Linked DNA regions of Canis lupus familiaris. The protein of the gene in region 2 purifies or fractionates together with the protein of the main gene of each other region. This does not show direct contact. Links are inferred from orthologs where the notes say so. Each region holds a gene or a part of one and is shown on either strand. Other genes may lie near its edges.

Evidence for each region.
Region 1: the proteins of DDX17 (region 2) and DHX9 fractionate together in Homo sapiens (co-fractionation; 3 studies listed by BioGRID and IntAct, with this or other methods). This does not show direct contact. The link is inferred for Canis lupus familiaris from reciprocal best matches to the Homo sapiens genes DDX17 and DHX9.
Region 3: the proteins of DDX17 (region 2) and DROSHA purify together in Homo sapiens (co-immunoprecipitation; 3 studies listed by IntAct, with this or other methods). This does not show direct contact. The link is inferred for Canis lupus familiaris from reciprocal best matches to the Homo sapiens genes DDX17 and DROSHA.

What each region holds. Positions count from the first base shown.
Region 1 is NC_049228.1:16,162,329-16,169,434, forward strand, and holds part of DHX9 (ATP-dependent RNA helicase A), read left to right. Parts: intron 1-1,697; coding exon 1,698-1,858; intron 1,859-2,647; coding exon 2,648-2,759; intron 2,760-3,354; coding exon 3,355-3,516; intron 3,517-3,628; coding exon 3,629-3,756; intron 3,757-4,904; coding exon 4,905-5,134; intron 5,135-5,496; coding exon 5,497-5,612; intron 5,613-6,323; coding exon 6,324-6,524; intron 6,525-7,106. UniProt on the Homo sapiens protein: Multifunctional ATP-dependent nucleic acid helicase that unwinds DNA and RNA in a 3' to 5' direction and that plays important roles in many processes, such as DNA replication, transcriptional activation, post-transcriptional RNA regulation, mRNA translation and RNA-mediated gene silencing.
Region 2 is NC_049231.1:27,287,541-27,294,646, reverse strand, and holds part of DDX17 (probable ATP-dependent RNA helicase DDX17), read right to left. Parts: intron 6,326-7,106; coding exon 6,175-6,325; intron 5,521-6,174; coding exon 5,421-5,520; intron 4,826-5,420; coding exon 4,692-4,825; intron 4,038-4,691; coding exon 3,972-4,037; intron 2,658-3,971; coding exon 2,516-2,657; intron 1,784-2,515; coding exon 1,623-1,783; intron 1,536-1,622; coding exon 1,363-1,535; intron 1,019-1,362; coding exon 908-1,018; intron 657-907; coding exon 595-656; intron 1-594. UniProt on the Homo sapiens protein: As an RNA helicase, unwinds RNA and alters RNA structures through ATP binding and hydrolysis.
Region 3 is NC_049225.1:76,747,147-76,754,252, forward strand, and holds part of DROSHA (ribonuclease 3), read left to right. Parts: intron 1-1,577; coding exon 1,578-1,677; intron 1,678-3,115; coding exon 3,116-3,223; intron 3,224-7,106. UniProt on the Homo sapiens protein: Ribonuclease III double-stranded (ds) RNA-specific endoribonuclease that is involved in the initial step of microRNA (miRNA) biogenesis.

The DNA.
Region 1 (7,106 bases), on a different chromosome or scaffold from region 2:
TGCAACATTTGGAAGATACCTACTTTTTAAAGGTTAGATTGCCCTTTGAAATTTTTTTTTTTTTTTTTTTTTTTTTTTTTAAGATCACAGAGCGAGAAAGAGGCAGGGACACAGGCAGAGGGAGAAGCAGGTTCTATGCAGGGAGCCCGACATGGGACTCGATCCCGGGTCTCCAGGGTTATGCCCTGGGCGGAAGGCAGCACTAAACCGCGGAGCCACCCAGGCTGCCCTAGATTGTCCTTTGAACTGAAGAAACAAGTGCTGTACTTGAACATCTTAGTGAAAATCACCTACTAATTAGTAATGGCATGAACCCATAGTAAAGATTTTTGTTCTTTTCTCTGTAGGATAAGAAACAGATAACACTATATGCTTTTTTTTCTTTTTGCTATCTGCATTTACGTAAACTTTATTTAAGCTGACTTAAGTGTCTTGCCAGCAGTGTTGGAATCATCTGTAAATTGTTCCATGAATTTTCATCATGAACAGTGAATAGCCAAGAAGTGAATTAGAAATGTAGAGAACTGAGGGCCCCTGAGTGGCTCAGTTGGTTAAGCAGCCAACTTTTAATGTTAGCTCAAGTCTCAATCTCAAGAGTTGTGAGTTCAAGCCCCATCATGTTGAGCTCCTGCTAGGCATAGACCCTAGTTAGAAAAAAAAAAAAAAAAAAAATTGAGACCTGGATTTTAATACCATTTATACCTATTATATCACGTAAACCTAAATATTTACACTCTTGTAGACCTCTTTCCCCATTTTGTAAAGTGAGATCAAGTTGCTTAACTTTGTTTCTTCAGTTGAAAGAGGAAGATAGATAATACCTAACCCACAGGATTTGAGAACTAAATGAGTTAATAATGTAAAATACTGAGAACAGTGCTTTGGTACATGGTAAGCTCTCAGTAAATGTTAGCTATTATCATTGTTAATATTAATTTGTAATAGTAACTTACTACTAAAATTTTTAAGGGTTAGATGATCTGTAAAATCTTTCTGGTGGCACTAAATTTTACGAACCAGAAAGGGAAGGTGATTGTGGGGAAATGTTAGTATCAGCCCAAATCTCCACAGAAAGTCTTATTACCATTTAGGGGTGGGGGGGGTGAGAGGTGTTTGTTTTTGAGTATTGTTGATAACTGATGTTACATTAGTTTCAGGTGTACAACATAGTGATTCAACAACTCTATACATTATGCTGTGCTTCCCACAAGTGTAACTGCCATCCGTCACCATATAACACTTTTACAATACAATTGACTATATTCTTTGGGGTGTACCTTTCACCCTTGTGATTTATTCATTCAATAACTGGAAGCCTGTATCTCCCACTCCCCTTCACCCATTTTTGCCTGTCTCCTCACCCTCTCCCTTCTTAGCCATTGTTTATAACTCAGGTTTGTCAGCAGGCAAGACCTGAAGTCATAGGTATGGGTAATAACATTAAGAATTCTTTTTTTCATCCTCCTTCACTCTTCAGACAAAAATACTATCAAGCTGTAAGTGGTAAACCACTGCTCAAGCAGTTAAAAGGGTCTTGTCCAGAGAGTCTTTGTGGTAAATACAAAACATTTTTTGTTAATTATAAAAGGGTGAGGGAAGGAGAGCTCTATAAACCTGATTATCTCTCTGCAAAGATTTTGTCAAACAGACATGTATATACAAGAGTGGATGGTTATTTTCTGCTTTTCTTCACTTAGACTTGAAACCCATATGACACCTGAGATGTTCCGAACACCATTACACGAAATTGCTTTGAGCATAAAACTTCTGCGTCTGGGAGGAATTGGCCAGTTTCTGGCCAAGGCGATTGAACCTCCACCTTTGGATGCTGTGATCGAAGCAGAGCATACCCTTAGAGGTACCTATAAACACAGAACCTACCTAACACGTGTTAATTATGCCATTTGTCTTGTCCTGGCAACTAACATGTAACAGATGAATCAAGATACATTTGGCAGGCTGTGGTAAGACTTCCAGTGCTACCTTATGTATTTAGTGTGGTCAGTTTTATAAAATGAGCAACATGGGGTAAGAAAGGAGTAACATGAGTCTTCTTTTGGTAAAAAAAAAAAAGCAAAAAAAAACCCACAAACCTCTTCACCAGTATTTAACAATTAGAATATGAATTACTCACTATCTAGTATTTTATGTGTATCTGTTAAAATCTCTATTTGTATTTTCTAATCATGTCATAGAAGTGGTGTAGTATCATGGGAAAAACTAAGAACATTGGCCAAGGGAATCTGATTTTGAATCCAATACTCATCTGCTATATGAACTTTATTTAGACTTTGGCTCTTCGCATCTCATTTCTCTCTAAAAATTACCTGTAGATGGCATGAGACTTGTTTAGGGCATATGTACTTATGCTGTTATTTTAGTTTTTATTTTATCTATAGAGTTTGCATGGGCTGTATTCAAGCTTTACAGCTTACAGGACCTAATTCTAGTACCTTCTCCCTATTAGGTGCTCCAGAATTTGGTTTTGTTCTGTTTTTGAGTAAAGAGAATTATTGGCTATGGGCATGGTGCTGGCAGTTGACTTGACAAATATTAAAAACTCAATTAACCTTAAATTTTTCATCTTTGCCTCAGTTAAAGGAGTGTTCATTACTGTTTCTGCTCATAAAGAAATATTTCCCCACAGAACTTGATGCGTTAGATGCCAATGATGAGTTGACTCCTCTGGGACGAATCCTGGCTAAACTCCCCATTGAGCCTCGTTTTGGCAAAATGATGATAATGGGATGTATTTTCTAGTAAGTGCTTTGTTTTATTGCTGATACTTAAATGGTAGAAAAACAATTTCAGGATCTTATTCCCCTTGCCATAAAAAACAGGATGGGCTCAGAAGAAAAAATTAAATTCTTAGAAGTGGCATACTTCAGATATTAAGCAAAGTATGAAATGAGAATGCATGATACCAGTAGATGGGTACCAGGGCTCAGCTTGTTGGGGGAAAGAGCACAAGTTTCTCAAAAGGGAAGCACAGTTCCTCTGAGGAGCGTAAGTGGTTGTCTTTAAAAGAGAAATGGAACTAGGAAAACAGGTATACTTTATCAGGAAATTTTGAAGATTAATTAAGAGAGTTGAGAAGATGGGGAAGAGAATAAGGAAAGGAAAAATAAAATACTTGGTCATAATTTATGGTAAATATTCATCCATTAATATTAGAGCTCCTTCATTTTTTTCTCTTTCTGCTTCTGGAGGGAGCAACTGTAAAAGTTCTTTGTTAAGCCAGTCTTGGTGCTGATAAAGCAGTATCATAGCCAGTAAAGACTGACCCACAGTGACAGTATGGCTCGTGAACTGCTGGAAAGAAAGTATGAGGCTGAATTCTCCTGTCTGTTTCAGTGTGGGAGACGCCGTCTGTACCATCTCTGCTGCAACCTGCTTTCCGGAGCCTTTCATTAGTGAAGGAAAGCGACTGGGTTATATTCATCGAAATTTTGCTGGAAACAGATTTTCTGATCATGTGGCCCTTTTATCGGTCTTCCAGGCTTGGGATGATGCTAGGTATGCATTTGAAAGCAGAAAGTTATAAAGCTGTGAGAACTCTCTTTAGTTTCTAATGTGTTTTGGGGCTTTGAGAATGACTCTTAAAAAAAATGACTCTTACCTATTTTAGAATGGGTGGAGAAGAAGCAGAGATACGTTTTTGTGAGCACAAGAGACTCAATATGGCTACACTAAGAATGACCTGGGAAGCCAAAGTTCAGCTCAAAGAGATTCTGATTAATTCTGGATTTCCAGAAGGTATGACTCTCAGATTCTAAGGATCTATCTAAAGTGACATTTATGTAGCATGTGCACGTTGACAGTGCAGTGTCTTTTAGCTTCAGACTTTAGACCCTGTGTTCGTTGAATAACCTCAAATAGTGTTTTGTCAAGTGATTGATCATTCTGCCCACATTTGTGTTTAGACATGAAATTTACCATGTTAAATTTTAAGTGCCTTTAAGTGTGCTGGAGAGTAAGGAGGCTTTGATATTTGATGGAGAGAGAGTAATTTAGCTGTTTATTTCTTATATTAGTTGAGCTTTTAATCTTTTGTTCTCCAACTATATTAAAAGAGCGTCATTTCCTAAAGTTGGGAATTGAAGCACACAACTGGACATAGCTGTATTATAGTTGAGAGACAGAGAACATAGTTGGGCAAGATGGCAAATTTCAAAAGGATATAATCTAAGTAACTAGACAAATGTTTTCCTCTGTTGTAAATGGACTAAATTTGTAATTTTTTAAGTCAAAATCAAAGGAAAAAAGGAAGAACATATCTTATATGATAGAATCCTCACAATAATCCCAAGATACAGATATTACTCTGTTTTATAGAAGAGGAAACACAGAGGTTTAAATTACTTGTCTAAACTCATTCAGTTAAGTGATGAGACTAGAACTTAGGTTTGTCCAGCACAGAATATATCCATGTTCTTAGTGGTCACTGTCATGCTTCTCAACCATGAGGAAGTACTTCTAAAGAGCATAGTGTGGGTGGAAACATCAGCCCTCATTCCAGTGGGCTCCCCTTGAACTGTCATTCTGTCTTTAAAAAAAACAGCTACTGAGGAACAGTAGATGTTCCACTTTACTCACCTGTTAGGTCTGGCTCACTTTTAGCAAGTAGATGATAACCTGAGTGAGGAGTTGGCTTTTGTCTTTAAGTAAACACTCAACTACTCAACTCTTATGGTTGAGTCTATAAGAGAATGTAAGTATTTTAGTTTTTTGTTGTGGAGACTCAGAATTTCTCCTTGAACTTAAAATATGGGTGCAAAAGTTCTGAGAAGACAGGAAATCTGAAAAAAGAGGTGGGAAGGAGTCAGTCCTAATTTTCTTAAGTTTACATGCAATCCGAGGATTAGCCAGATAATCTGATATTTTTACCCCATTCCTCTTAACAGATTGCTTGTTGACCCAAGTGTTTACTAACACTGGACCAGATAATAATTTGGATGTTGTTATCTCTCTTCTGGCTTTTGGTGTGTACCCTAATGTGTGCTATCATAAGGAAAAAAGAAAGATTCTCACCACTGAAGGGCGTAATGCCCTTATCCACAAGTCGTCTGTTAATTGTCCTTTTAGCAGCCAAGACATGAAGTACCCATCTCCCTTCTTTGTATTTGGTGAAAAGGTAAGAAAAGATTAGTTTAGAAAAATTTGCATTGAGGGGCGCCTGCGTGGGGCTCAGTATGTTAAGTATCCAATTCTTGATTTCAGCTCAGGTCATGATCTCAGGGCTCTGTGTCGGGCTCTGTGCTGAGCATGGAGCCTGCTTGAGATTCTTTGCCTTTCCCTCTGCCCAGCACACTCTTCCTCTCTCTCCCCCAACCTCAAAAAAAAGAAAAATTTACATTAGAAATCTACATTGTCATTACTTATTAATGCGCGGTGGGAATGTGAGTTTTTATTTTTAAAGCATAATTCAATAAATTATATGGCATTTGACAACCTGGAATGTCATCTGTTTCCTCTTGCCTCCTTTTCCATCTGCAGATTCGAACCCGAGCCATCTCTGCTAAGGGCATGACCTTAGTCACTCCCTTGCAGTTGCTTCTCTTTGCCTCCAAGAAGGTCCAGTCTGATGGGCAGATCGTGCTCGTAGATGACTGGTATGGATTTTCAGATGTGAACTTCAAACCACATTCTTAGAATTGAGGTGTAATGGGATTTAGCTGCTAATCTAACTTTATTTGCGGAATAAACATGACAAAATTTCATGGCAGAAATGAAGTGTTTTATAACATTGTCTCTTCTTGGAGAGTAGTGGTATATCTTGGTAGTACAGTTCATACTTGATAGTAAGTCATACCAGTGGAAGCAATTGCATAGGCATTGAAGCTACATCTGCCCCACATGAATATTACCCTAGGGAATTGGAATCTACTTGAAACTTGGGTACCTTTTCATGTACTCTGTATGTTGGTTAGAGACTACTGGTAAACATGTAGTAAGCACTTGACAAAAAGGGAGTAGATCTTAGTTGACCAGTCAGTAGGCTCAGTCATATTCTTGACAACTCCAGCAATGTGAGTCTCTTTCATTCTTTTATTGGAAACTGAATGATCTATATTGCTTACAATATTTTGCTGGATAGACTTCTTGGTTTACAATACCTGCCAGTAGCCAGCAGTGGATCTTAAAAACTGTTACCATTCTTCATACCTGTGTTTGCCTAAGTAGGGTTCATTGCAGGAGTTGAAAGTATTGGTACTTAGTAAGAAGTTTAATTTATTCCATCACTTAACCATGTGTGAAATTGAGAGACAGTAGTCTTTGCTATATATACCCTTCTTGTACCTTATCATTTTTCTTTGCTTTAGGATCAGACTGCAAATATCTCATGAAGCTGCTGCCTGTATCACTGCTCTCCGGGCAGCCATGGAAGCTCTGGTTGTTGAAGTAACCAAACAGCCTAATATCATCAGCCAGTTGGACCCTGTTAATGAACATATGCTAAACATGATTCGCCAAATCTCTAGGCCCTCAGCTGCTGGTATCAACCTCATGATTGGCAGTACACGGTGAGTACCACAGTAACATCTCTTTGAACCAAGCAGAAGACAGTAATCTTACACTGGCCTAAAATTCACAGTTAGCTAATAGAGGCCTTGTTTATTTACGTTAAAATTCTAGACAAACACTGAATATGAGATTTAATGCGGGTTAACACATTCAGAAAAAAGGGTGTTACTAATTTTTGTCTGTGTTAATAGTATATTGTATCAGTGCATGTCAGAGAAAGTCCAGGGTCGGTCCCATGACAGGAAAGTGACAGAGCCCAAACCATTCTCTTTCCACGGTACTCTTTTGCTTTCTCCAATGAAAAAATGTTGATTGAGGGGTTAAATCGGAGCTTCTTCAAATGAAAAGCCTCAAGGTTCATCTTAGTAGGGGAATGCAAGAATGCAAATATCTTAAGTGTGAAATTTCTCTTAATTCTTAAAATGTCTTATTTGGTTGACTTTTTCCACCTTTTTAATCTTTCTTTGCTTACAACTTTTTATTTGGAAATATTTGATATCTGCCGAGAAGGCAGAAGAGTAGTACAGTGAACACCAATAAAGTCTTAGAACCTAAACTCACTAATTGTCAGCATTCTGTGA
Region 2 (7,106 bases):
TAGAGATTGAATTAATAATCAATCAGGCCTATACTATGAATGAAGCCTGCATAGGACTCCACGCGTAGCGCAGTCAGCTTGAGATTCTCTTGCCCTCTCCCCCCTAACTCACGTGCACGTTTGCTCTCAAATAAACCTTTAAAAAAAAAATCCCAGAAGTATAGGGTTTGGGGAACTCTCTAGGCTGATGAACAGTCTATAAAGACAAGACCTTATTAAATAAAAGATAGTCTAAATTACAAAAAAAGTGTAAAGAGCCAGCATTAGTGACTTTCAAAGACAGTAGAGATATGCTAAAAAATGTCCCTACTAGTCAATTAACTAGAGCAGAGCTAGGCAAACTCTGGCCTATGCATCAAATCTAGAAATACTATTTTTACTATTTTATTGCAATACAACCAAGCTGATCTTCACATATTGCCTATGTCCATTCTTTTTTGCCGTAATGAGAACCAAATGACTGACAGAAATTCTGTGACTGTGACGATACACCGTTATCGTCTGTAAAGCAGAAAATATTTACTTCTTGATCCTTTACAGAAAGTTTGCCCATCCCTAAAATAGAGTATGGACAATATTTAGTTCTTAACTCACCATTAAGTACCCAATCTCTTTCAGGTTGACTCTTGTCTCCATGGATACACATAGCTGGCCAACTGTCAGAAGAAAAATGACCAATATTTCAGAAAGCTTTAAAAAAAAAGAGAAACTAAACTTTAAAAAGAAGAACTATCACACAGAATTGTGAAGGTTTATTAGGCTACATGAATAGATGACTGTGTCCATCCAAAGAGTAAGGTGCATGACGGGCATTATGAAATATACAATATATATAATACCAATTTAGAAATTCCTACTAAACTATAAATATAAAACCTGAAGCTAATTACCTCAGTGCTGCACTCACCCATCTCTGCGCATCCTTCGAGTGAGGTCATCACAGCGTCTCTTTGTCTCTACAAATATTATTGTCTTATTTTCTTTCTCAGCCATTATTTCCTCCATGAGCTGAATCAACCTGAAAACAAGACCAGCAAAAATGCATTCAGATAAAATCTCCCCACACATTATGTAAAAGCTATGTATACAATATTAATTCCTCAAAACTACAGTACTCTTTTCACATTATCTTCTATACAGCTGTTAACTATCTGAACTGGGATTTAATTCTAAGAATCCAGTACCTCGCTTATAACTACAATATTCTGGAGAATGAGATAAAGAATGGATAGCTGGTAAGCTAGTAATGCTTTTAACATTTTTTGGCCCTCAAAAAATTTCAGGCTTCTTCAATGCTTTAATTTTGGGAGGATTATCAGGAAAAGTTTAACAGCATTATCAAAACAGTAAAATCCCTCTTACTTGTGGTCTTTTTCACTTTCCATGCAGACATCCACAATCTGGAGGATGTTGTGGTTGGCACTCAACTCCAGATTGCCCACGTTGATCTGGGTGTAATCACGAAGGAAATCCTCTGCAAGCTGTCTTACTTCTTTTGGCCAGGTTGCGCTCCACATCAATGTCTGCCTATCAGGCTACCAGGAGAAGAAAGGCTTTCTTTTAGGCTAAGGAACTGTGACAGGAAATGGGAATAAAGACAGTGTATCATCAGTTTTACACACCCTGATTTGGTCAACAATTTTACGGATCTGAGGTTCAAAGCCCATATCAAGCATCCTGTCAGCCTCATCCAGTACAAGGTAAGTACAACGGCGAAGATTTGTCTTTCCTGACTCCAGGAAATCTATCAGGCGCCCAGGAGTAGCTATACAGATCTCAACACCTGTAAAACAAAACCAAAGATATAGCCAACTAAGAATTCCTTATACACTGTCCAAGCCTCAGCAAACTAAGAAGCACCAGCTCTGATGGTTGCATTCAATACTGGAGAGCACTAACTAAAATTTTTTAAAAAGATTTCAGTTGGGCAGCCCAGGTGGCTCAGCGGTTTAGTGTCGCCTTTGGCCCGGGGTCTGATCCTGGAGACCTGGAGCCTGCTTTTCCCTCTGCCTGTGTCTCTGCCTCTCTCTCTGTCTCTCATGAGTAAATAAACAAAATCTTTTAAAATAAATTAAAAAAAAAAAAAGATTTTAGTTATTTGAGAGAGACAAAGCATGTGCACAAGCAGAGAGAGAGGGGAAAAGCAGGCGTCCTGCTAAGCAGGAAGCCAGAAGTGGGGCTCCATCCCAGGATCCTGGGATCATGACCTGAGCTGAAGGCAGATGCTTAATAGACTGAGCCACCCAGGCACCGCACACTAGTTAAATTTTAACACAATACTTGGGAAAGCAAGATATAGAGATTTATTTATAATCATCAAATCTCCACAAAGTTGGTCTCTGTAAAAACTTTTCCCTTATTAGCAGTTTAACTGTACCTGGGAATTTTTAAGCTGCTGAATTACGGATTTTTTCCAAAAATAATCCACTATTTTCCTCTCCAACTTCATTCATAAAAATTGGTAAGATGAGAAAAATTGTTAATTCTTACATGATATATATATATTTTAAATTACCTCTCTCCAAGTCTCGAATTTGGGGACCTTTGGGAGCACCTCCATAAATGCAAGTACTCTTCAATCTAGAACATTTGCCATAGTCATCAGCCACCTGCTGTACTTGCTGGGCAAGCTCTCTGGTAGGAGCCAGAACTAGACACTGAAACAAACACACGTGTTTAAGTCACCATCAAATTAAAAAGGTCATTTAAATTCTTTTTGTATTGTCTAATCTGGTACTTTAAAAATTATGTGAGGGGGTAGGGGAAGACAGTTTAAGACAGCATATGGGAGTGTGATAGAAAACATTTAGCATGTGAAATGATGGTTTACTTTTGATATAGGATTCATTATAGTTTGTGCTTTTTAAGTGGATTTACAGATTGTATTACCTAGTTTTAACTAGGTAAACAACTCTCACAAAATGAACAAGTGACATTAGCCAACGATTAAATTAATTAAATTAAATATTAGTAGAAAACTAGATGAATAAGGAAAGAGCAAAGTAGACATTTTTCTGACTTCTAGTGTAAGCTTTCAGCCAGACACATTAGGTTAAAAACAGTGACTTATAATCAAAACAATACAAAATTAGAAGACTCGTTGAAATAGGTTATTATATACAATATTAACAACAGATCCTGTTCTGTGTAGATCCATGAAATATTACTAATTCAATTAGCTAATTCAACTAGCAATGTGGAATATATCACACATTGCAAAGTTATGTGTGCAAAGTTTTTTGTGACTATTTTGAGACAGTAATAATGTACCTATTTGTAAAGACTTATCAAATCCAAGCTGCAAGCTCGATTATTTTTTTTAAAGATTTTTTTAAAAGTAATCTCTACACCCAACGTGGGGCTCCCAACTCACAGCCCAAGATCAAGAGCTGCATATTCTACTGACTGAGGCAGTCAGGCACCCCTCAATTTTTAAAAAACAGGTAAGAATGTATTAAAAATGTTTGATAACCACTCCACACATTTTACAGGAAATAGCAAAAGTGAAAATAAACCAGAAAATCATACTGCCCTATAAAAATTTTAAAAGTATTACTTAACCACAAAGAATACATATCCTAAATGTGACTTACATACAAATGGCAGGGATATCATTTTCATACTTCCTTATCCCTCACACCATCATTGAATAATTAAGAATTCTGACTTTACTGCAGAGTAAATGCCTATAGATGAAGGCAGCACACATAGCAGTTAAGAGTAAGACTATTTAAAAAAAAAAAAAAGAGTAAGACTATTCAAAATCAAACTCAGCCATTTAACAGCTATTATGACTTTGTGGACTAATCATTTAATAGCACTGTGTCAAAATTTATCAGTAAGATGGAGACATCACTTCCAGAAAAAGAGGGTGGGTTTGAGAATAAAATCTAAAACACATGTAAAGCACAATGCCTGAAACACAGTTACCATTAAACTGTGATTATTTTTAGAATTATAAATACACTTACAATTGGGCCATCTCCTCTTTCCAAGTAGGGCTGGTGGTTAATATGAACAATTGCAGGCAGCAAATACTAGGGAGGGGGGAAAACAATGACAGTCTTATTCCAAAAGTAAGCCATTATTTTAAGTTACCATAGTTAATTGATAATGCCTAACCACAAAAATGAAAACAGAACTCTCAACTGTTACACGTATGTGCAATGTAAATTTGAACACAACGTACTCACACATTCCCCATACCTAAGAAAGCTGAAACTACCTACACTATCTGAATTAGAATTTTTAAAAAATATTTTATTTACTTATTTTGAGAGAGAGGGGGAGAGTGAGCAAGAAAGCATGAATGGAAGGGGGAGGGGCCGAGGGAGAAGGAGGCTCCCCACTGAGCAGCAAGCCTGATGTGGAGCTTGATCCCAGGACCCTGAGATCATGACCTGAGCTAAAGGCAGACACTTAACTGACTGAGCCACCCAGGAGCTGCTGAATTAGAATTTTTAAAGAATGAATGGTGACTCAGCAGTTGAGCCTTGGGCTCAGGTCATGATCCTGGGGTCCTGGGATCAGAGACCCACATCAGGTTCCTGCAGGAAGCTTGCTTCTCCCTCTGCCTGTGTGTCTGCCTCACTCTCTCTCATGAATAAATAAAATCTTAAAAAAAAAAAAATTAATGGGATAATCTGCAAAATAAGTTACCATAATGTTAACATTCCCTTGCCGGTACATACCGCCAGAGTCTTCCCAGAGCCAGTCTGAGCAATGCCCACCATATCTCGACCACTGAGAGCCAAAGGAAATCCCTGGCACTGAATCGGAGTTGGTTCTGTAAAGTGTTGATCCATCAACACATCCATTACATATTCTGTAAGAGAACAAATGTCAGTGCTTTCAGGTAAAACAAGGACACAGCCAATAGAATTCTAAAAAAAATCCATTCAGCTCATCAAAGGAAAGATTTACCCAGCTTCATATCTCCAAGAGAAGTGCTGTTTTTTTCTTTAGTTACTGAATCTCTGATCTGCTGGCTATCTCAGAGGACTATTGCCCTAGTTATCTACTCTTCCCTTCAATACTTAAAAACTATTGCCCTAAAGTCTCTAATACAGCATGGGCACATGGTTGTTGGTCACGTATTATTTGCCAAGTTATATCCAGCTAGAAAGCAATTTCATGGTTTTCTAAAAGGTAGAGGCAAAACTTCTAGGGGGAAGATGAAAAACTCAAAAAAAGCTTAAAAATAAAAAACATAAGCATAAAAAAACTCTTATGCAACAATACAGCATTTACTTAAAAGTCTTGAAATTTTTAAAGAAGTATATTATTACCTTTATGAAGGGTTTCAACTTGCCTCTTTCAATAAAATCCTAAGCCTGAATCAAAACCTTTAAATAACCCATTATCCATGTTTACCATTCAATAAAATTAACAATTACAATCCTGGACTGAAGAACACTTACGTGGGAAGTTAGCATGATGGAAGGCAAACACAGGTTTAGGACAAACATCTCCCCCTCTCACTGTAATTTCTTTCTTTCGGCGTAGTTCATCAACCTCATACTATGGAAGAAAACGAAGTAAGAAAAATAAGTTACTCTAAACATATAACACTTTATGTTCCAATCAAGATGAACAATTAACTATACAGTTACACTGGAAAATATCTAACACTTCTAATACTGCTTTCATATACATTCAACTTCATTAATTTGCAAAGATCCTCCCAACTTTGAGTTAATGAAGCATGTGAGAAGAGTTCTATTTTCCCCATGAGAAAACAGACACTTAGAAATATTAAAAGAAATTTGCCCAAGGGTCAGAACTAGGATGAGGGATAAACAGTGGAACTTGGACCAAGTGCTTTTTCCATCATTATCTTTTTTTGAACATTTCAATGAGTGGAATCCAAAACAATCACAACAAGGTTAAAAAAACAAGTACATTATGTCAATGTTTTAATGTAGGTGAAAGACAAGATACCTCATATAGTTAAAATCTCATATACGACAAATTGGGAAGCATAGCCAATAAACGAGAACCAAACAATAGATTAGGTAAATATTTAAACTGTTTCCTCATGCAAGTACCAGTAGTCTTAGTAAGAATCTAAGGGAACTACTACACTAGAATAAACATCTAACAGCAGTGAAGTCTGCCTAATGTTAACTTGGTTCATTACTGCGTATAGAAAAAAGGTAAATCCCCCAAACTTACCGGAGTCAGTCTTGCCACTTCTGGATGTTCTACATAAAAATTCTTCTCAAACTTGGGGAGCTCACTCAAATCCCACTTCTTTTTACGTAAACGCTCCCCAGGATTACCAAATTTCTTTGGGGGAAGGCCACCACCACCTCTTGCACCAAATCTAGAAACACCAAAAACTTTTTATTAGTATCTTAAAAGCAATATACCTTGGGTGGCATAAGAACAAGCAAAAAGACTGCTTCCTAGGATACTATCAAGCCCCCTCCAAAGAATATTTTTTTATTCTTACTCAAAAGTATGGAGAAAAAGTCTGTAAAACTTCCTTCACAATCCAGTAACATTGTTACAGGTATGATTACAACAGATAAAAAATTAACAACTCTAAGTTTAGAAATCACTGCAAAGGTTTGAATTTTGATTCTGCCTCTTATGGTACAATTTGAACAATTTAAATTCTTTATACTCCAGTTTCCTCTGTAAAGTAGAAACAACACAACCACTTATTTCAGAGATTGTTGTGAAAATGAAGTGACTAATAAAATCTTTTTTTTAAATTTTTATTTATTTATGATAGTCACAGAGAGAGAGAGAGAGAGAGAGAGAGAGGCAGAGACATAGGCAGAGGGAGACGCAGGCTCCATGCACCGGGAGCCTGACGTGGGATTCAATCTCGGGTCCCCAGGATCGCGCCCTGGGCCAAAGGCAGGCGCTAAACCGCTGCGCCACCCAGGGATCCCTGAAGTGACTAATATAAAGTGCTCAAAAAAGTATCTGGCAGGGGTGCCAGGGTGGCACTGAGCATCTGATTACCACAGCGTGATCCCAGAGTCCAGGGATCGAGTCCCACATCGGGCTCCCTGTGAGGTGCCTGCTTCTCTGCCTCTCTCTGTGTATCTTTCATGAATAAATAAAATCTTAAAAAAAAAAAAAAAAAGTATCTG
Region 3 (7,106 bases), on a different chromosome or scaffold from region 2:
AATTAGCAGGGGAATACCCTTGAGTGGATATTTTATTAAAAAATTAAGACCGGAAATGAGCCATGATTCCAAATTTAGGTTACCAAATGAAACAAGTTTTAGTAGCTCCTGAAAAATTATTTTCTCTTTCGATTTGACTGCAGGAAATTATTACTCATTAGATTATCCTTGGCAATTTTGGTCAACATGAGTCCCATATATTTTTAACCTTTAAGGAACTTTTCCTTCGTTCATCATTATAATATTTATTGTTATTATTATTTATTTTTTCAGTGCTCTCTAGAGGAAAGTAGCACCATGTTGATTCCTAGCACTGCTGGATTTATGCAGAATTCTATTTTGGGAGGCATCTTAATAAGAGCTCAAGATCCCATGCAAAGTCAAGGGTTGTGTTGTAAGGAGAAGGCATGACTTCTGACACTTAGAGTTGATGTTACTTTGCACATTTGAGTTTTTCCAACTTCTTGTTAGTGTTTTTCTGGGAGAAGATGAGGATGTGTGGGAATGGAAATAGTACCATTATATTCTTCAGAAGTGTTTGGATTTCCTACCTCGTTAAACAAACAAACAGCTTCTTGACTTAATTTTTTTTTTTAAGGATTCAAAATGGGAGAAAAGGGCATGGGAGATTTTCAATTCATAAATACATTTCTGGCTGATACATTAGAAGAGGCTAAAGGGTTTTGTTCTTTTTTTCCCCCCTTTGGATAAAAGTATGAAGCAGTGAACCAGGCACTGTGTAAGTACTTCTTTCTTTCCTCCATTCTCTAAAAAATTGTTACCAAAAAGGAGAGACCCAGCTAAGGCCAAGAAAGGAGCAGTTTTAATAGGGACAGAAAATTCATTGAAAGTCCCTTCTTGTCACAAATGTTAGTAGAATGTGATAGGCTCTCGTGGATTCTCAGGTGGCAGGACTATGTGCTGCTGCAGGACTGCATTTCTCTTCATTCCCAGGATGTTTTAACAAGATCCTTTAGTCTGATCCAGCTTATCACATATTTGTGATATGCTGCAGCAAATATGCTTATTTTTGTCATGGTAAATACAAATGGATGCACACCATTTGTCTTTTTCCTTCTCCAGTGGAGAAACGGATACAGCTGTAGAGCTCGGGTATTGACACAAGTGGGATTCTCTTTTCTAATACTCTTCAACTTCTGTTTTCAATGTAGGCAGTTCAGAGACCAACAGTCCTTGTTAAGTAAGAGGTCTTTCTTTCAATAACATCAGAAAGTACATATTTAAATAAAATAGGTAATGATGAGAAATAATACGTGTTTCTGTTGGTTTTTATGTGTCTATGAATTCTTTCCACAGAGATTCGGGCACTTATAGGGTACCTCATTTTCAACACAGACTTAAAATTATCAACTTAACCACTAGGTTCCAGATGACTCTCGGTCATCCTGCCCCACTGTCCCCAGATCATATGCTTCCTTAGAATGAAGGTTTGTTGCCATTAAGGATATCTAAAGAATGTAATTTATGATTCAGCAGGCCTATTAAAACAGCTGGTTTTATTGCATTTCAGATTCTCCTACTTTTTTTCTGAGATGTCTGTCTGTCCTTTTCCTTAGGTACCAGAAACTGTGGAAGAGTTATGTGAAACTTCGCCACCTCCTAGCAAATAGTCCCAAAGTTAAACAAACTGACAAACAGAAGCTGGCACAAAGAGAGGTTGGTATCAAATCCTGTTCTTCTGGGATTAATGTTGATGTGTTTCATGTTTATTTCAAGATTATTGCATTATACCATACTTCTAGAATAAAATGGAAAAACACTTTTAAAAATACACTTTTCTTTCCTCACATTAGTATACAGATTGATATTTTTTTCATCTTTTAGTATCTAGAGGAGCATTATCACCACCACCACCACCACCACACCAAAAAAGGCCTCTTTCTTAATGGATTCCTACCATTGGGAATAAATATATCTTATAGAGATTTTTCAAATTTTAAAATTGCTGGGTCAACCTTTTATTGTTAATTAGACTGTACATAACACAACTTGGGTCTTGCTCAAATTTCTTGTACTTAAGGTCGTAAAAGATTGCCTTTCATATGTCTTCCATATGTCTGTTAGTTTAGTAGGGTAAACTTCTTTCATAAGGTTTTATGTCCCAAAGTCCATATTTTTTACTAATGGGTAGTATTATCCCTGTACTCCAGGATCATTTTTAAGAATAAATCAATTCAGTATCAACATAAATTTTGTTTCATTGAGGTTTTATTTTGCTTTGGGCAGTGTTAGAGAGCAAGGCTTTGAAGCTGGGAAAAGTGTTTGAATTCTGGTCCAGTCACTTCCTGTGACTTGAGCCAGATAGCTTCATTATAAAGAGAGAACTAGATTAAGGGAGGATGACTGAAATTTGTTTCTGTTGGTGCATCTGGGAAAAAAAGGTGGTTGTGTGGACTTCTGAAATACTCCGTTTAACTTTCCTCCGATGGTGTTTGATCTGTAGTAGGCATTTAATGAGGCAGGTGGTGTGATAGTTCCTGTTGTTATGAACTCTTATGAGATTTTTATTGAATAAGTGTACAAATATAAAATTATTTTTATAATTAATTATTTGAAGGGAGGTAAAAGGGAAGAGTCAGCTCCTTTATATCTTGCAGAAGTTTTAAATCATTGTCTTTTTTAAATAAAAAGGTACCCTTGCTGCAAGAGGTTTTGTAAGGGTTTTGCAAATGAGAAGACAGCTTTTAGAATTATGTGGGTTGCAGATTAGTTTACTGATTGTCTTTCTTAGATGTAAATGCTTAACATAAGGCTTGATATAAATATAATTTTTACATGCTGATTTTAAGTCTCAAACATCACATGTTGTTTCTTTTATCAGCAAAGGGGCATTTTTTGTTTGAACTCACCAGAATGGTCGATTTGGTTTAGATTTTTTCATATCTAGGTACCAGGAAAGGCTGGCATATACCCAAGGCTTTGAGCATCCTGGCCTTCATTTCAAATAAAATATTATAATTTAACATGAAGAGGTTTGAATACCTGAATGTAAGGGTGATATTGAATGAATCCAGCTTATTTTCCAATGCTTGATGTTTGGCTTAATATTGCTTTACAGCTGTCAGTTTACTCATCATAATGAGTTCTTTTCTAGGAAGCACTCCAAAAAATACGACAGAAGAATACAATGAGGCGAGAAGTAACAGTGGAGCTAAGTAGTCAAGGATTTTGGAAAACTGGCATCCGTTCTGATGTCTGTCAGGTGATGACGCCTCTAAGAACACATTTATACCTATATATCTCTTTAAAAGGCATCTGCCACTGAAGTTTTCCTAATGCGGATGAGATGAGTTGCTACAGAACATACAATCTTGTAGCTAAATGGAACACCAACCATAAATTGTTTTCTATTGTTTGGGTTTTGTTTTTGTGTCAGTTTTCATCTTGTTTAGCTGTGTGTGTGTGTGCGTGTGTGTGCCCCTGCATGAATGCATGCATACATGTGCACGGTGGTAGGATGAGTTGGGGGGCAGTTACTTAGTAATGCTAAATTCTGTCTCTGCCTGTTGAGTGAAGGCAAGTGTGTTTTTCAAATGCATCTGCCTGTGTGCAATGCGTGTGGGCGCTTGTCAAAAGAGCGATTCCAGCAGCTGTACAGGCAGACTCCTGAAGATGATGTGTACAGACTTTCCAGACTGATGAGTCAAACTTACATTGCAGAGAACTGAAGGCATTAATGAACAAAATCAGTATGAATTTCATATTTGAGTCAAATGATAACAGATTTTTTCCTTAGATGAACTAATAGAGGAACATTTCAACTATATATAACTCTCACTAATAACTATTTTTGTTTTCCCTATGAGTGGAATTTATAATATATTAGAGACCCCTAAAACCCAACATATTCTCTGACTCTTCACTCAATTCTCTTGTTATGATTGATACTGGTTGTGCTCCATGGGAATTATAGTAAAGGCGAGGAGGTCACCCAGGCAGGGGTCAGGTCAGGTAGTGTAGTGTGCCATGTTCAGCCTTTGGGAAGAATGCTTACAGGCTTCCACTCACTCTTGTTTTGTGTAGCATGTGTTTGGTAATACGTTCAAGCAGTCTTGGGTATTTATTTCATCATAATGAGGTATTTTTTCTTTAAGTCAGTGTTGGCATTTAATTATTATATTGAACAGTGGGATTTAATCTTATTATTAAAGGTACTGCTAGGTGATTCATTTACATTGTGATTCCAGAGCTATATATTTTTGTGTTAAGATGGACTACTGTTGATGCCATGTTACTAGATGGAGAATTAATTCTCTATAGTGGCAGCCAGCTGTATCTACCAAGTTGTCAGTTATTTTGCTAACTGACCAATTTTTTTTTTTTAATTTTTTACTCTAAGTATTCAGAAATGAGTATCTTCTGCTGATTTTTTCTTAGGACCTTGACGCTATATTATCTAATTTTTATTTTCCTCCAAAACAAACATAATGTCATCCTAAGGTAGACAGCATAAGAATGATGAGCAGAGGGTGCCTGGGTGGCTCAGTTAAGCCTCTGCCTTTGGCTCAGGTCATGATTCCCAGGATCCCTGCTCAGTGAGGGGCCTGCTTCTCCCTCTCCTTCTGCCCCTCCCTTCTGCTTGTGATCTCTCTCTCTCTCTCTCATCTTTCTCTTTCCTTCTCAAATAAATAAATAAAATCTTAAAACAAAACCATGAGCAGAATGTTCAACAATCTGCTCAAAATCTGGTCCTCTCAATGATAAGTCAGAGTTGATAGAGACATCATAAAATTGTAGAGCATTATTAACTGGAAGGGACCTTAGAGATCTTTCAGCTCAGTGAATTTTAAACTTGTGTTTTTGGTTAACTTTGAACTTTTTTTTAAAAACAAAATTCTGTAGAGCCCTAATTTGTAAAAAGATAAAAAAAAATAACTGATTGGTGGGTGGTGGGTATGGAGGGAGTTCTCCCGTTGTACTTGATTTCCACCCTGTGTAGCAGGCCCTGAGGCAGTTCTGTTCCACTGAACACAATTTTGTTTAAAGCATCGAGCCCGCTTTCCTCTCTTTTGGCGACATGCATGCATACGGGTGCAGAATCATCTGTTCCATTGCAGTTCTGTGTTCTTCAGCTGTGGACACAAATATCTTACGCTGACTTCTTAGATGAGAAGCAGCCAGAGGACGAGGTTATCAGATCTACATGTATTATATTTTACATTCTGTTTGGAGACTGGCTGGCAAAAACACTCAGTTCCTTTGACTAAATGGTCAGAGAAATTGGATCCTGATTAAAACTCCTGCCAAGGTGAATACTCCTTGATCTAATAATAGTCCCTTCCTCTGTAGGACTCCCCCTCTTCCAAAGACAACTGCCATCTGTTTAGAAGCCATGTTTCCAGTTTCCAATCCTCCTATTTTTTACCAGTAATGTTGGCTTTATTTAATTTCTTATCCTGGAATAAATGTTTCTTTTTTGTATGTGTTCCTCAAATAAGATGGCACCTGGCATGTAATAATGCAGTTTAAAACCTTCAAAATAAAGGCATTTAGTATGTTTGGTATTGAAGGAGAAGAATCTGAGAAATAATAGTTAAATAATAATCTTGAATAATCTTTTTTTTTTTTTTTTTTTTAAATTTATGATAGTCACAGAGAGAGAGAGAGAGAGGCAGAGACACAGGCAGAGGGAGAAGCAGGCTCCATGCACCGGGAGCCCGATGTGGGATTCGATCCCGGGTCTCCAGGATCGCGCCCTGGGCCAAAGGCAGGCGCCAAACCGCTGCGCCACCCAGGGATCCCTCTTGAATAATCTTAAAGCCTGTAACAGACTCGTACTTAATTTTAAGGAAAAAAAAGCACTTCTCTAAAATCTTCAGGGGTGGGGATAGGGGAGGGATTCTCTATTTGCTAACTCATTGATACAGAACCTACTGTTCATTGGTAATAATTGCCAGTAGGTTGCTGGCAAAAGCCTTGTGATGTTACCTGGCTGCTGCTGGAGATAAAACTTGTTTTGATAAATCTAAGGTAGAGAAACCTAAGTACCAGCCTCTTCTTCTAGAAGTATAATTTCCCAACCAGAGAAGTTATTAGGGTTTTTATGTGGTTAGAAAATTCTACCTGATGCCCCAACCAATGTTAGGAGGATGGAAATCCAGGGCTGGGCCTGGAACCTGTAATTACACGTGAACTAAATGCAGAACTTGAAACTGTATAGAGACAAAACTATTGAAAGGTTTTTTTCTGTGTTGCTGTTTATTAGAGTGACTTCTAGGAAATACGGGGGCCAAAAGCAAGAATTAAAACCTGAAACTGGGGCAGCCCCGGTGGCTCAGCGGTTTAGCGCCTTTGGCCCAGGGCCTGATTGGAGACCCAGGATCAAGTCCCGCGTCAGTCTCCCTGCATGGAGCCTGCTTCTCCCTCTGCCTGTGTCTCTGCCTCTCTCTCTCTCTCTCTCTCTCTCTCTCTCTCTCTCTCGCTGTGTGTGTGTGTGTGTGTGTCTCATGAATAAATAAATAAGATCTTTAAAAATATATATATAAAAATAAAAAAATAAAACTTGAAACTGAGGCTGAAAAATTCAAGTATGCCTCAGAAAAGGAAGAAAGGCAGCATGTTGCTACAGGATCTGTATTTTAAGAATGGGGTCCTGCCCACCGAGGTTGAATTGGTATCTTATAGAAGCAGGTACCTGGTATCCTCTGCTGTAGTAAGGAGGTGGTTCGTGAGAATCCGTAAGCTGAACCATAGAATGGGGAATGGATAAAGGTGACAAACAGACCTCAAAAAAGGCGCAAGGAATGCACTACCATTATGGTTATATAACCCTTATAAGGTTATGCCGTACCTGGGGGTGCTAACTCCCTGAGCAAACTACAGAGGTCCAGGTGTGTGGAGAATTGCCCTTGGCGCCAGGAAGACAAGCTGAGCTGTGACAGTTGGTATTTGTACTGAGTAGACATAGGGCTGTTTTTGGACTCATTAATAGCTGTGATGTCTTCACGCAGTGACTCTGGAATGCAATAGAAGGCTGCCATGCAATATCGCACTAACTGACATTCTCACTTCGTGATCTACCAAGGGGTGACTGAACGCTGAAGAAAAATATCGAGAGATTAAGAGGTTTTGGACAACACATTCAA